2 linked regions of the Elephas maximus indicus genome follow. The protein of the gene in region 2 purifies or fractionates together with the protein of the main gene of each other region. This does not show direct contact. Links are inferred from orthologs where the notes say so. Each region holds a gene or a part of one and is shown on either strand. Other genes may lie near its edges.

The links. The genes of interacting proteins can lie anywhere in the genome.
Region 1: the proteins of DCAF7 (region 2) and CCT6A purify together in Homo sapiens (affinity purification with mass spectrometry; 3 studies listed by BioGRID and IntAct, counting the BioPlex papers as one, with this or other methods). This does not show direct contact. The link is inferred for Elephas maximus indicus from reciprocal best matches to the Homo sapiens genes DCAF7 and CCT6A.

The regions. Positions count from the first base shown.
Region 1 is NC_064830.1:103,112,712-103,119,694, forward strand, and holds the start of CCT6A (T-complex protein 1 subunit zeta), read left to right. Parts: upstream 1-3,883; 5' UTR 3,884-3,994; coding exon 3,995-4,131; intron 4,132-4,510; coding exon 4,511-4,574; intron 4,575-6,983. UniProt on the Homo sapiens protein: Component of the chaperonin-containing T-complex (TRiC), a molecular chaperone complex that assists the folding of actin, tubulin and other proteins upon ATP hydrolysis.
Region 2 is NC_064837.1:54,787,338-54,794,987, reverse strand, and holds the start of DCAF7 (DDB1- and CUL4-associated factor 7), read right to left. Parts: upstream 3,021-7,650; 5' UTR 2,792-3,020; coding exon 2,654-2,791; intron 1-2,653. Other genes in the region: KCNH6 (potassium voltage-gated channel subfamily H member 6), read right to left, coding at 6,326-6,610, 6,965-7,151. UniProt on the Homo sapiens protein: Involved in craniofacial development. Acts upstream of the EDN1 pathway and is required for formation of the upper jaw equivalent, the palatoquadrate. The activity required for EDN1 pathway function differs between the first and second arches.

The DNA of each region.
Region 1 (6,983 bases), on a different chromosome or scaffold from region 2:
TTACAGAACAACTAGCTTCTCATTAAACAGTTTGAACACATATTGCTTTATGACATTGGTTAACAACCCCAGGACATGTCAACACTCTCCCTTCTCAACCTTGGGTTCCCTATCATCAGCTTTCCTGTCCCCTCTTGTCTTCCAGTACTTGCCCCTGGGCTGGTGTGCCCCTTTAGCCTCTTTTTGTTTTATGGGCCTGTCTCATCTTTGGACGAAGGGTGAACCTCAGGAATGACCTCATTACTGAGCTAAAAGGGTGTTGGGAGCCATACTCTCAGGGTTTCTCCAGTCTCTGTTGGGACAGTAAGTCTGGTCTTTTTTTGTGAGATAGAATTTTGTTCTACATTTTTCTTCAGGTCTTTCTGGGACCCTCTATTGTGATCTCTGTGAGAGTAGTCAGTGGTGGTAGCCAGGCACCATCTAGTTGTGCTGAACTCAGTCTGGCGGAGGCTGTTGTAGTTGTGGTCCATTAGTCCTTTGGACTAATCTTTCCCTTGTGCCTTTGGTTTTCTTCATTCTTCCTTGCTCTAGATGGGGTAACATCAGTAGAGTATCTTAGATGCCTGCTCACAGGCTTTTAAGACCCTAGAAAAAATATTTTTGTTGAAAGTTTACACACCATATTAGGTTCCCATTTAACAATTTTCTACACAAATTGTTCAGTGACATTAGCTGCATTTTTCACAGTCTATCAACATTCTCATTATTCCTGTTCTGGTTGTTCCATTTCCAGTAATCTAGTTTCCCTGGACCCTTCTCAGTAAGTCTTGAGTCTCTGGCCTACCCATACTTTTTATATATTTTCACGTATATACTTATGCCTCCCTTTATAGATATATAGATTTGGGGAGTATGATGGTTTAGGTGAAGCATCAGCTTGGTTAGGCCATGATTCTCAGTGGTTTGCTTCACTGGCTTTAATCCTTTAGAGATCCCAGCCCAAGACATTTGGTACTGGAAGAGTGGGGTGTTGCTCCAACAGATACCTAAAATAGGGAAGCAGTTTTAGAGTTGGGCAATGGATAGAGGCTGGGTTTTAAGGTGCCTAATGGAAAAAGCCAAGCAGCCCTAGTGGTTAAAGCACTCGGCTGCTAATGGAAAGGTCAGTGGTTCAAAACCACCCGTGGCTCCCTGGGAGAAAGATGTGGCACTCTGCTTCTGTAAAGATTTACAGCCTTGGAAACCCTATGAGGCAGTTCTACTCTGTCCTATAGGGTCACTATGAGTCGGAATTTACTTGATAGCTGTGGGTTTGGCTTAGTGAGTTTAATAGAAAAAACCTAGACTGTCTTGAAGAGACTGTTGGTGAAGTTATGGACGTCAAAAGCAATTCTGATGAAGGCTCAGAAGGAAGTGAGGAGAACTGTAGACGAAATCTCTATCGTCTTAGAAAATACATACGGTGCAGGAACAGGATGTTGCTAGAAATGTGGACGTTAAATGTGCTCCTGGTGAGGCTTTAAAAGAAAATGATGAACGTGTGATTGGACACTGGAGGAAGGGCGATGCTTTTTATGCAGTGGCAAAGAACTTGTCTCAATTATGTTCAAACATTTGGTGGAAAGTGATGAACTTGGACAGCTGGCTGATGAGATTTCTAAGCAAGATCTTAAAAGGGCTGTATGGTTTCTCCGCGCTGCTTACAGTAAGATCTGGGCTGGATTACCCAATAAGCAAGGTACGAATGGGCTTACTTGTGCATACGTACTAATCTGTAGTGAACAATTTTCTCCTGTTTTTCAGGACATCAAAGATGTGGTGAAACCATGTGAAACTGTTCACTAGCTTAGTAAGGACAAACTAAGGACATGTGTCCAAGAATGTTCACCAAGGACAGGGCTACACAATCTTTTGTTAAAGAGATTAAGCCTGTGACTGCTAGATCTAACCAACCACTACAGTAGAATACCCATCTTCCAGGAAGAAAACTCTTTGCTACCTGGAATTCTACAGGCAGGAAACAGGCCAAAGAAGGTACATTTGTTGTCCTCCACGAAAAGAAAAGGACCATCCCTGGAGCAGAACTGCTGGAAGGAGCACTGGAAGTAGGGTCTTCTCAGTTTCAGAGGGTGAGGCCATGTCTCCTATATCTCAAAGGTGGGGCCACAGCCTCCTAGGTTTCAAAGAGTCAAATCTTTGCCAACTCCGTTCTGGAGCATGGGGCTGCTGTTAAGTCGTGCAGGGGGGTGGCGCCACCACCCAAAGCTGAGGGGGTGGGTCTGCCATGTCCAAGTGACAGAAAAATGGGGCTTACCAGCACTGAGGGAGTGGGGTCACCACTAAGATGGACTAGGAGAATGGGGCCACCGAAAGTCAAGGGAGCAGAGATGCTGTCCCAATGGGCCTGGAAGGGGAAGCCAAAGCCCAGGTCTGGACGGCCTCCTCTGAGAATCCAGGGAGCATGTCCAACACCCAGAGTCTGGAGGGCAGGGTCATTGCCCAGATGGTACCAAGGAACGGAGGATTATTCTCAAGCCTTGAGAGCTAATGTAAATTGTTCTGCTGAGGTTTGTGTTTGCTTGGTGCCTGTTATCCCTTCTTTCCCTCTAATTTCTCCCATCTGTAATGGAAATGTCTACCTCATGCCTGTTCCATCAGTGTAGTTTGTAAACAGATAACTCGTAGTCTACATTTCACAGGTTCACAATGAAGAGGAATTTTGTCCCAGGATGGAATAAACCTAAAATCTCACCCAGAATTTATTTAGATGCTTCAGAAGATGAGATTTTGGACTTGGAGTTGATTTAAGACTTTTGGTATGGTATGACGGGATGAATGTGTTTTACACGTGGCAAGAACATGAATTTGGGGGGGGCAAAGGATGGAATGTTATTAATTGAATTATGTCCCCCCAAACATGTGATGTGAATCCTCATTTCAATGCCAGTGGTTATAATCCCATTTGGGAATGGGTGGTCTTTATTATGTTAATGACACAGGATAAGAGTAGGGTGTATTTTGAGTCAATCTCTTCTGAGATATAAAAGAGATTAAACCAGTAAGAAAAGCAAGAAAAGCAGAGATGGAGGAAGAGAGGTGCCAAGCCACATGAAGATCGCCCAGGAGCAGAACCTCAGAAGTGACAAAGATCTCCCTCCAGAGATGACAGAAAGAGAAAGCCTTCTCCTAGAGCTGGCACTCTGAATTCAGATGTCTGGCCTCCTACACTCTGAGGGAATAAATTTCTGTTTGTAAAGCCACCCACTTGCGGCACTTGTTTTAGCAGCACTGGAGAATTAACACAGTGCCCCTTTGGAGTCAATTCCCCCATTCCGCCCACCCTCCCCCACGCAACCAGTGATCTGCTGTCGCTATACATTTTTTCTGCTCTAGAATTTAATTCACATGGGATATGTGAGTTATATGTATCAAGGTATAAATATATACACACATATGTACATGTATATGTTGTTGTTGTTAGGTGTCCTGTAGTCAGGTCCGACTCATAGCGACCCCTATGCACCACAGAACGAAACACTGCCCGGTCCTGTGCCATCCTCACAATTGTTGCTACCTTCAGCCCACTATGGCAGCGACTGTGTCAATCCATGTCGCTGACGGTCTTCCTCTTTTTCACTGAATCTCTACTTTGTCAAGCATGTGTGTTGCATCACAGCAACACACAAGACCCACAGTACCACAAACTGACAACCTGCACACCCAGCCACCTTGTTCTCAGGTCCCAGGCTCCGGGCCCAGCGCCATAGCGGAACCCTTTGGGTCCAGGGCTGCCGGGGCCACACTGTGCCCGGACTCAATGGCGCTGAGGACCCGGATGCGGATGTGGAGAGGAAGGCGGGACCACAGGCCCGCGACCCAATGAACGGGCCCAGCCTACCGGCGGCCCAATGATGGCGGCGCGCAGGCACGCTGGGGGAGGAGCGGGCTCGCCCGACTTTTCCAGAAGGGTGCGGATCTTGCCTCCCGTCCACGCTGAGCGGGCCTTGGGGTTTCCGGTGGTCCGGTCTTATCTTCTTCCTCTACTGCGCCCACCATGGCGGCCGTGAAGACCCTGAACCCCAAGGCCGAGGTGGCCCGAGCCCAGGCGGCGCTGGCGGTCAACATCAGCGCGGCCCGGGGGCTGCAGGACGTGCTGAGGACCAACCTGGGGCCCAAGGGCACCATGAAGATGTGAGTCGGGGCTGGCGGAGGGCGGGCCTGGGGCCGCGAGCCACGCGCCGCGGCGGGAAGGCGGGCCCCGGGTTCGAACCTGCGCCTGCGAGCCTCCACGTGGGCCTCCCGCCAGCGTGGCCGTTTCCTCCTGTCGGTGCCGTTTCCGCGGAGAACAAAGCTGCCCTCGTGCGCTCGCCCCGCACGTTCCAGCCACAGCGAGCTCCCGGCTCGCGTTCTCAGGGGCCGGGGTACGCCTTTCTGTAGACCGGGAGGAGGGACCCAGCCCCGCAGCCGCGGCCCCCGGGAATCTGGGAAAAGCCCGGCTTTTATGGGACGTTTGCTTTGCTCTCCGTTTGGGGGGTGGGGGGAATCACACTGATTCGTTTCCATTGAACAGGCTTGTTTCTGGTGCCGGAGACATCAAGCTGACTAAGGATGGCAACGTGCTGCTCCATGAAATGGTGAGAAATCTCGTCCACATCCAGAGTGGCTTGATTTTCCATAGGGCTTTTGATTTGTAGCAAAATTTCCAATGTCTGTTTTTCAGGTAGGAGAAAGTTAATATGGGTCGGCAGGTTGTGAGTAGGGAAGGAGCAGAAAAGAGTGTCATCAGTAATAACACCGAAGGAACAATACGGTGGGGAGCCCTGCAGCCGCACAGACCGAAATGTGACTCATTTAAAATTTTGGTTAAGGGATCGTAATTATTAAACTTTATTATGGTAAAATCTGTAAAAACCAAGAGTGGTTAACAGAAACTGGTGGGCGAATGACCTGGAATATGAGATTTTTGAGATGAACACTTAATTATCACTGAGTTCTCGAAATCTAACAGTTCAAATTCAGAAAGAGGAAGTGTGTTGCCTGTGATTTGTGTTCAGAATAAAATTTAGGATTTTGGTAGTAATACAGCATGTCACCAACATCCATGTGTTTATAAATATCGTTAGTAAGGGCTAGCTAACCTAGAAGGTGCAATTTGTTTTTTTAATTTTTTATTGTACATTAGATGAACTTTACAGAGCAAATTAGTTGTCATTAAATAATTAATACACGTATTGTTTTGTGATATTGGTTGCCAACCCCATGACTTGTCCGCGCTCTTCCCCTTCTTTACTTTGGGTACCCTGTTACCAGCTCTCCTGTCCCCTCCTGCCTTCTCGTCTTTGTCCCTGATCTGGTGTGCCCGTTTAGTCTCATTTTGTTTTATGGGCTTGTCGAATCTTTGGTTGAAGGGTGAACCTTAGGAGTGACTTCAGTACTGAGGTAAAAGGGTGTCCACAGGTTTCTTCAGTCTCTGTCAGACCAGTAAGTCTGGTCTTTTTTGTGTGAGTTAGAAGCAGTTCGTTTATTTTTAACAGGCTAAATGGCGGTCCCTGCCAGCAGGGACCAGTTGGAGCCATAGTTTAAATGTGAGGTCAGTCAGAAGAGTTGTATCTCCATAGCAAGTGTTATTACAGAGAACTTTCATAAAATTTGCAATTCTTTGGTCAGAGGCTTATTTCCTTTTTATTGTGAAATACAACAAAAAAAGAAAATATTTACAGTTTAACTTATAACTTTAAACTGAACGCATGTAGCCCCCACCTTAGTTAAGAAAGCCCGAGAAATTTAACATTGATACAGTATAGTCTAGTACAAGGTCCCTATTTGTTTTCACAGTTGTCCCTTTAAATGGCCTTTATATAGCTCCTTATGATGGTTGTATTCCCAGATTATGGACAGAAAGGTCTGTAATTTGACATGTGCCCCCTGTGCCTTACACAGTGAGAAGTATACAGTGACACCTGTGTGGTGTTTTTAGCAAAAATATTTAACGTCAGCAAATTTAGATAATGAGATAGTCTGTGAGATGACTGGCCTGAATTCTTAAAAGTATCTTCAAAGACATAACAGGCTAGGGAAGTGTTCTAGATTAAAGGAGGGTAAGGCAGCATGAAAACCAGATGCCCTGCAGGATCCTTGATTCAGTCCTTTGTAATTGAGTCTTCGTGGGGTGATGTTGGAGACATGGTGAATATCCTGTTCTTCCAGAACCTGTCCACACAGTGATTCTGCATCTATTGATGGTGTTTGCTGCAAGGGCTTTTTAAGTTATTTGGTCAATGTCACGTAATGTTGGAGGCTGCTGAGCTTTCATTTCAGAAGGCACCTAGCTTATTCTTTTTTTTTTTTAATGTGCTTTAAGTGAAAGTTTACTTATCAAGTTAGTCTCTCATATAAAAACTTACACACCTTGTTGTTTACTCCTAGCTGCTCTCCCCCTAATGAGACACCCTATATTCCCTGTGTCCATTCAGCCTTTTTTTTTATTCAGCCAGCTTCTGTCCCCCTCTGCCTTCTCATCTCCCCTCCAGACAGGAGCTGTCCATATAGTCTCATGTGTCTCCTTGAGCTAAGAAGCTCACTCCTCACCAGTATCGTTTTCTATCTTATAGTCCAGTCCAATCCCTGTTTGAAGAGTTAGCATCAGGAATGGTTCCAGTCTTGGGCTAACAGAGGGTCTGGGGACCATGACCTTTAGGGTCCCTTCAGTCTCGGTCAGACCCATTAAGTCTAGTCTTTTCATGAGAACCTGAGGTCTGCATCCGATTGTTCTCCTGCTCCATCAGGGATTCTCAGTTGTGTTCCCTGTCAGGGCCCTGTCAGGGCATTCATCGGTGGTAGCCGGATACCATCTAGTTCTTCTGGTTCCAGGCTGAAGTAGTCTCTGGTTCATGTGGCCCTTTCTGTCTCTTGGGCTCATCTTTACCTTGTGTCTTTGGTGGTCTTCATTCTGCTATTTACCTTGCATGTTTGGTGGTCGTCATTCTCCTTTGCTCCAGGTGGGTTGAGACCAATTGATGCATCTTAGATGGCTGCTTGACCTA
Region 2 (7,650 bases):
ACTTGGATCAGAAAATTATATTTTCATCAATCTCTAGCTGAAATTAAGCATTTCTTTTAATTACAAATGGAGGCAGTCACCCACAGCAGCATTAGCAATATCCGTGACTTTGTCACCAATAGAAATCATTGATTTTTTCATATCACATTATATTTGTGAAATATATTATGAAAAGTTGTTTACCTTCATAACCATTTCAAAATTACAATAACAATTACACTAGATGATACAATTTAATGAGTTAATTTAAAAGCACATATTACTTTATCACCACTTTTCAAAAGTTTTGATAACTATAGTTCAATATAATTGGCTTCCTTTGTAATCCTATATATGTTTACGCATTTGAAAACATCATTCTGAGAAGCAGGCTATAGACTTTAGATCGTCAAAGGTGTCCATGGCACACACATACACAACACACACACACAAAAGCTAAGAACCCTGAACTACAGATAGATGGAGACACAAAAATAATTTGCCTAGAAAAACCCAAAAAAACCAAACCCACTGCCGTCAAGTCAATTCCGACTCCTAGTGACCCTATAGGACAGAGTAGAACTGCCCCGTAGAGTTTCCAAAGAGCACCTGGCAGATTTGAACTGCCGACCCTTGGGTTAGCAGCTGTAGCACTTAACCACTACACCACCAGGGTTTCCATAATATGCCTACATCACATAAATGAGTTCAAATATAAAGCCAAAAAACCAAACCAGTTACTAGCGAGTCGGCTCTGATTCATGACGACCCCACGTTGCCAGACTCCAACCACTAATAGCAGCTGAATGCATTGTTTGTCCCACTCAGGGACTCAGAGTTAAAACACAGTCAACTGCTTATTCTGTTACTACTGGGATTATTAGTTTGCATTTTACTACTAAGGCAACATTGCTTGTGTGCCCAACACAAAGAAGGAGCTCCATACGGTTGCTGAATGGAAGGCCGAATGTGGGGGCAGAGTTCCCAAAACCGAGATTTAACACCAATTATTCCACAGATTCTTTGGTAACCTAACTGTGACTCAGTTTTCCCTCTCTTAGAAATGAGACTATGACTTCTTACCCAAATTAACCCTGGAAATACTTGCAAGAAAAAAATTATCAATTTGTGTGAAAAGACTCATATGCCCTTTGGAAGTCATATTTTACCTCTTTTTTTTTTTAACATGTACCCTTAACAATAGTTCTAGTGGTCTTAATTTTAATAATCTGGTTTCCACACCAGGGCTTTAAATTCCTTTTCCAGCTCTGCCATCCACTATGCTCCATAAGGAATAAAAATCACCAGAGAAAAGGAAATAAAGCTATGTCTTGCTCCCGATTCTCCGTTTTCTGTGGCCAGTGGGTGGGCTTCGAGATCAGTTTGTACTCCTTGAGATTTGTAAATTGTTCACGTGCAATATCTGAGCAAAGTCCATTGTTTTCAACGTTTTCTCAAAGGGGACTCCCAAGTAGTTACGACCTACTCTAAAGAAACAGATGTGCTCCTGAAAAACTACACACAAAAGAAATATAAACATTTCAAATGCTTTCTACAAGACCATCACATGTAAAAAGAAACCTCCTTCCTACAACAAACTGTGGGTCAGAAATACAACTGCCCTGTGCAATGCCCCACAGCTAATCAAGGGACCAGACAGGACCTGACCCTAGACAGCGTGACTTTTTCCCTCTGCGCCATGCCTGTCACTCTCCACATAATTTTAGTTTTCTGGTGTTCATGGTTTAAGCGGGAGCTCTGGCTCTAAATATCAACAGCCAAGGCTTTCAGTTGCTCTGATCACTATCAATCACAACTTTTACTCTGATACAATAAAAGGAAGAGCTTAAAGAATAAAGGAAAGAAAATTCCTTATTCAACAACTTCAGAAAATAAACGTATGCTGCACTGCCAGCGTAAAAGCTTCCCCTACTACCAACGCTTCTATGAAGGACTCTCAAATTGATGGATGCCCAGAAAGACTTACTACTCAAGGTTACACATCTGTATTAGCAGGAAAGGAGCCAAGGAAAGATAAGGCAAAGTGTCATCCTTCTCTATTTAGGAAACAATGACGGGATCATGGCCATGGGCCAAGACTTTCAAAAAGACATCGCTTTGGAAGGAATGGCTATCAGGCAGCAATAGCGATGGCACTCCTGGCAGAAGGGCCAGGGGAACCATGAATAGTATCTGGGGATGGGAGTGGGGGGAGGGGGAAGTCTGTGCCAGAAGTGAAGGGCTACCAACTCTAATGCCTGCATTTTCCCTCACAGCCATTAATTCCTCCCACCCCCGCCCCCCAAACTGAAGCAATGCGGCAGGAGGGGAGGCGGTTGAAAAAGATAAACGGTGTAGCCTTGGCGTGGAAGCTCGGGTTTCAGATCTGTTTCGGCCATGAAATAGCTGCCTAGCTCAGCAAGTCACGATATTGTGCTTCAGTTTCCCCATCAGTAAAACGGAGGTAACTACACTCCCGACTACACGGGAATCTGCCAGGATTAAATGAGACAACGAGTGCAAAACCCTCAGCACCGGGCAAGACACACAGGAACCGCTCCAGGACGCCAAGGCAAGTCCGCAGGAGGGCTCTGGGGTCTGGGCTCCGGCCCGGAAAGGGCGCTCCCGGGGCCCGCTCCCCGCCAGCTGGGCTCCGAGCCCCTGCCCGGCCCACCTTGTTGTTGTACTCCTCCACGAAGCTGCCCAGCGCCAGGCGAAAGCGCTTGTCGGGCCGCACGCTCCAGTTCATGGCGTAGACCGTCCAGGGCGCTTCATACTTGTAGATCTCCTTCCGTTTGCCGTGCAGGGACATGGTGGCGGCGGCTGGGCCGCAGTGCGGGCCGGGTCCGCAGTCGGAGGCAGCGGGCGGGGCGCGAGTTGGGCGGGGAGCCGAGCCTGGGACCGAGGGGTCTGAAGGGAGGCGGGGCAGGCAGGGACAGCCTAGCCCGGAAGCGGGGCCGCGGCGACAGACAACGGCGGCCTGGCCCGACCCCCACTTTCAAACCAGCTTCGGCACCGACAAAAACCACCTTCCGTTTGGGACACCGCCCCGCCCACTCGGAACGGAAGCCACGCGACCCGCGCAGCGTCGCCGGCCGTTGGCTGCCTGACACGTCCTTTCGAACAGTTCCTTCGCCTGATTGGTTATTGTGCCCGGAGGTTTTGACACCTCCTCACTACGTCACTCCAATTTCTCGCCCCTCCCAATCATGGGGCGGGGCTTTCGCAGACCCGAAGGCCATTGGCTGGTACAAATGTCAGTCCGAGAGATAACGGTGCACTGCTGGTGAATGGGGGCGTGGGTGATATAGAGTTCAACGTGCCGGGCAGCAGGTCTCCAAGTTCTAGGTCAAGTCTCTGAGAATGAAACCTCTTGCGTGACCTGCTCTGACCTCCCCTCTGCTGCTTCTATTCTGAGCGGCCTCCCCAAGCTGTCGAGTAAAATTAAAATTCTGCAATAATGGGGGGGCCTTGCGGCCAGGCAGCTTGGCCCGCGCCAAACAGGAGTCACCCTCCCTTCCCACTCGTCCCAACGCCCCTTTGAACCCGGGCAGCGTTTTCCCAGTGTCTAAAGGAAAGGCCTCCGGCACGCCTTTTGCAGACCGACCGATGGCTTAGTTAGGACCACGCCGGGTTCAGTGAGGCCTGCCTGCGCTTTCCTGCAATTCCAGAAAAATCTCCGAATTGAATTCTCCGGTTGGTCCTCAATTAGCAGCAACGTGACCAGCTTGGCTCTAAGCTTCTGTCTATGCCCATCCCTTCCCCGCAGCGCATCCCAAGGCGTATGTCAATCAAGCCTTAAATTTATCTGCGCTGTGAGTTTGAAATGGAGAAAATGCAGGTCTCGAATCTGGGTAACAACTTTTTATACTTTACATGGTTTCCAATTCTTTGCTTTCAACAAAATTGAAGGATTGTAGTGGATTGTTAGATGATATCATTAAATATAATTTTTAATGGTCGATGTGATTTTTAACAGACAACTTGGAAAGAATTGAAAGAATTAAGTGACGTTTTAATAAATCCCTTCCAGTCCCATCTTATTTGTGTGAGCAAGTTTTCTCTGTGCTTAAGTTTAATAAAAAAAAGAAAAATACAAACAAAACTGTTGCTGAACTTTGTCTTATCCTCTTAAAAAATGATATTCATCCACAGATAAATGAACTAACTAATTGGGGGAAAAAATCCCCATGCAATCTCTTTAAGAGGTGCATTTCCAATAAAATGTTAATTTTTATAAAAATGTGAATATATATTTGTTGTTTTAAACAACTCGGTACTACTAATAAAGCCTTAGTAAGTTTACAAAATTTAATTTTAAAATTTCAGTTTATATACATATTTGTGTTGCAAGCAGATATGATAGGATGCTCAATAATAGACTTTGAAGCATGAAAATAAATTACATGGTGCATAAAATGGGGATGGTGGCTAGAATGGAATTACGAGTTTGAAGAGAAAAAGGAATGATGTTGAAGAAGGTTTGTTCTTGTGTCTTTAAAATGGCCCATGGTGGCTCTCAAGTCACTAAGCTATTTGGATGCAAATGGATCAATATAAATGAGGGACAAAACAGTACAGTTGTGTCAATATTTACAACCCAATGGAAATTACATCCTTTGCGACAATTTAAACTTACCAATGAAACAATTCAGATGTCAACTTCAAAAGATGTCAGATTTCCTTTAGAGAATATTTGTGCAAAATAACTGAAGACCAGTGATGAGGACCTTTTTGAACAATAGCCCTTTGCAGCTAACTGCACAGGCTGTCAGGCCAGACTATCTGGGTTGAAATTGTTTTGTTAAAAAATTTAGGTGCCATCAAGTTGATTTTCTACTCATAACGACCCCATGTGACATAGTAGGACAGCCTGGTGGCACAGTGGTTAAAGTGCTCGGCCCCTGAAAGGTCAGTAGTTTGAACTCACTAGCTGCTCTTCAGGAGAAAAATGTGGCAGTCTTCTTCGGTAAAGATTACAGCCTTGGAAACCCTATGAGGCAGTTGTACTCTGTCCTGCAGGGTGGCTATGAGTTGGAATCAACTCGACAGCAACAGGTTTGTTATTGTTGTTAATCTTTATAAGAGCAGATCACCAAGTCTTTCTCCCGTGGAGCAGATGGGTTGGTTCAAACTGCCAACTTTTCAATTAGCAGCTGAGCACTTAACTACTGTGCCACCAGGGCTGCTGCTCCTTGGGTTGAAGTTATGTCCTCCTTTTCCTACTGTGTTGGGCAAGATTCTTTTTATTTTTTAATTGAAGTATAATTTACACATAGAAGTGTACATATTTTTTAACGACATGAACACACATTCATGTAACCAGCACCCAGATCAAGAAACAGAACAACATCAGCACCCAGAAGTCCCCCTCATACTCAGGTAAGTTTCTGATTACTGATTCCACATCTCTAAAATGGGAATAATTATACTGACCCCATAAGGTTGTTGGGAGAATTAGATGAATGAATATCTTCAGAGCAGTCAGCGTGGTGCCCAGCACGGGGTGAGTGCCACGGGAGTGTTGGCTGTTGTCATGATTCCAGATGGCCACCAAGCCAGCACCTCTCTGCTTCCCTTCGCCCTAGCCTGGCTATGCTCCAAGGGCTCCTGGGCTCAGCGGAGCCACCTTCAGGTCCCCAACATGGTAGATTTGGAGGATGAACCCCCAGCTCTTTGTGAGAAGGGCTTGGGGAAAACCACAGATGTTGGAGTCATGGCACAGTCAAGGACCTGATGACCCTCAGGTAAGTTTACATACCTGGCTAAACAGGAAATGTGCCGAATTTATTAACTGTGTGGCACTCCACTGCCCAGAAGGGGCCCAAAGGTCATCACAGAACTGTTAGGGGTGAAGCAGCTGAGGGCTGGAGCTCTGTGAATTGGCATGTCTACCACAGAGGGCACCTTCACCTCCAGCTGGGTCAGAGGCTCTCGGCAGGAGGCCTGATCGATCCTGGGCCGTGGTTGCTGGGCCACGTACAGGGGCTGTTTCTGAGTTGAGGGATAATCCTGCCGAGCCCAGAGCAAGACTCTCACACAGATCAGAAACTTCTCTTTACCTCACTGACCCCTCACTCCTGTAAGTTACCTGCACATCAGAGTCACTCCCCCTCCCAATCCTTCACCAGGCTTGCTGTCTAAACAGAGCCCTGGGGGAGGGTGGGAAAAGTCCAGAGTCTCTTCACCGTGCCCTTTTGGGTCACCTGGGTTACCAGTATGAACCTACTCTAGGGGAATGATTTTCAGAGGCCCATTTTGGAGGCTGTCTGCCTCCCTGAGGATCCTCAACTCTCACCCACCTTCAGTCCTCTCATGGTGTCTTTTATCTTGGGATTCAGTAGCTTTAACACCCTGCAAATCCAGGATCTGAGCCATATCTCTGGAACTCCAGCTGCTTGGGGACAGAGCCAAGGTGTTCAGGGAGGGAGGGGAAGCGGGGACCACAGACAAGTCCCTGTCCGTCTGTGTCCCACAGAGGTGAGGCCAAGGGTGACAGGAGCCCCTGGGGCTGCTCCTGTTCCAAGGATGGTGTCAGGGGGTTGTCCATTGCCACGACCAGGTGATGCATCCTGGAGGAGGCATTCCTGTGCGTCAGCCTACATTGGTCCAAGTCACCACAGCCTGGGGTCTGGGAGGGGCAAGAAAGAGGCATGCAGTGTGAAGAGCCTCCCAGGCCAGGCTATGGGTTAAGCCACCCCAACTTCAGGGGTGGGGGCTGGCTGGAGGTGTGCCTGCTCCTTCACAGCACAGGGTCCTGTTACCTTTGCCCCAGCTGGGGGTCTGTGGTCACTTTCTGGACTTTGCCGCTGCCCCGTCCAGGCTGCCCTGTCATGGTTCAAGCCATAAAGGGGGACAACAGAAGCCACAGCTGCTCTAGGAGCACAGAGGCCCTGAGCCTGAAGCCACATTGGAACGAGTTGGGGGTGTGGGAAAGCAAGCAGCTACCTCCAGGAAAGCCCCTGGGGGTCCCTCACCTGCTCACCTGTGCAGGAGGCAGATGGCCCTGGGCCAGCCTGGGACCTGGTCTTGGAGTTGCTGAGGTCACAGGAAACAAGGCCAGGTCCTTGGAGGCAGGGGCTCCCAGGATATAGCTGGGGTGGCCCTGTGGCAGAGGCTGCTGAAGGAGCTTCAGGATGTGACTGAGGTCTGAGGCCATGCGGAACTCTAGCCTGCCAGACGGAGCCCCGCAGTCAGGGTCAGGGTCAGGGTCAGGGTGGGGGAGAGCAGTTCAGGGCTTGAGGCCAGCTCTCAGTTTGGGGTTATGGCAGCTTGGGGCCTACTCGAAGCCATTTCCCACTGGGATCTGCAGCCTTTGCCCAAACTCCGCTTAGCATGTCCCTGACTCTGGTAACAACAATGAACAGGCCCCATGCACACATTGTTCAGTCCTCATAGTGACATTTTGACATGGCTATTCTGATTATCCCCATTTCACAAAAGAGCAAACTGAGGCTCCAAGTGGTTAAGTAACTTGCCCATACTCTAGCTGGTGCGCTGCAGAGCCAGAATTTGAACTCAAGACCATCCTGCTCCAAATTCCCACCATCCACAGGCCATGCCCTTTTCCAAGGGCCCATGGAATTTATGTTTCTGCACATGATTGCGGCCCCACCCCCCAAGAAGCCTTCCTTGGCACAGTCTAGGGTTTTCCAAGGGAAGGCACCCAAA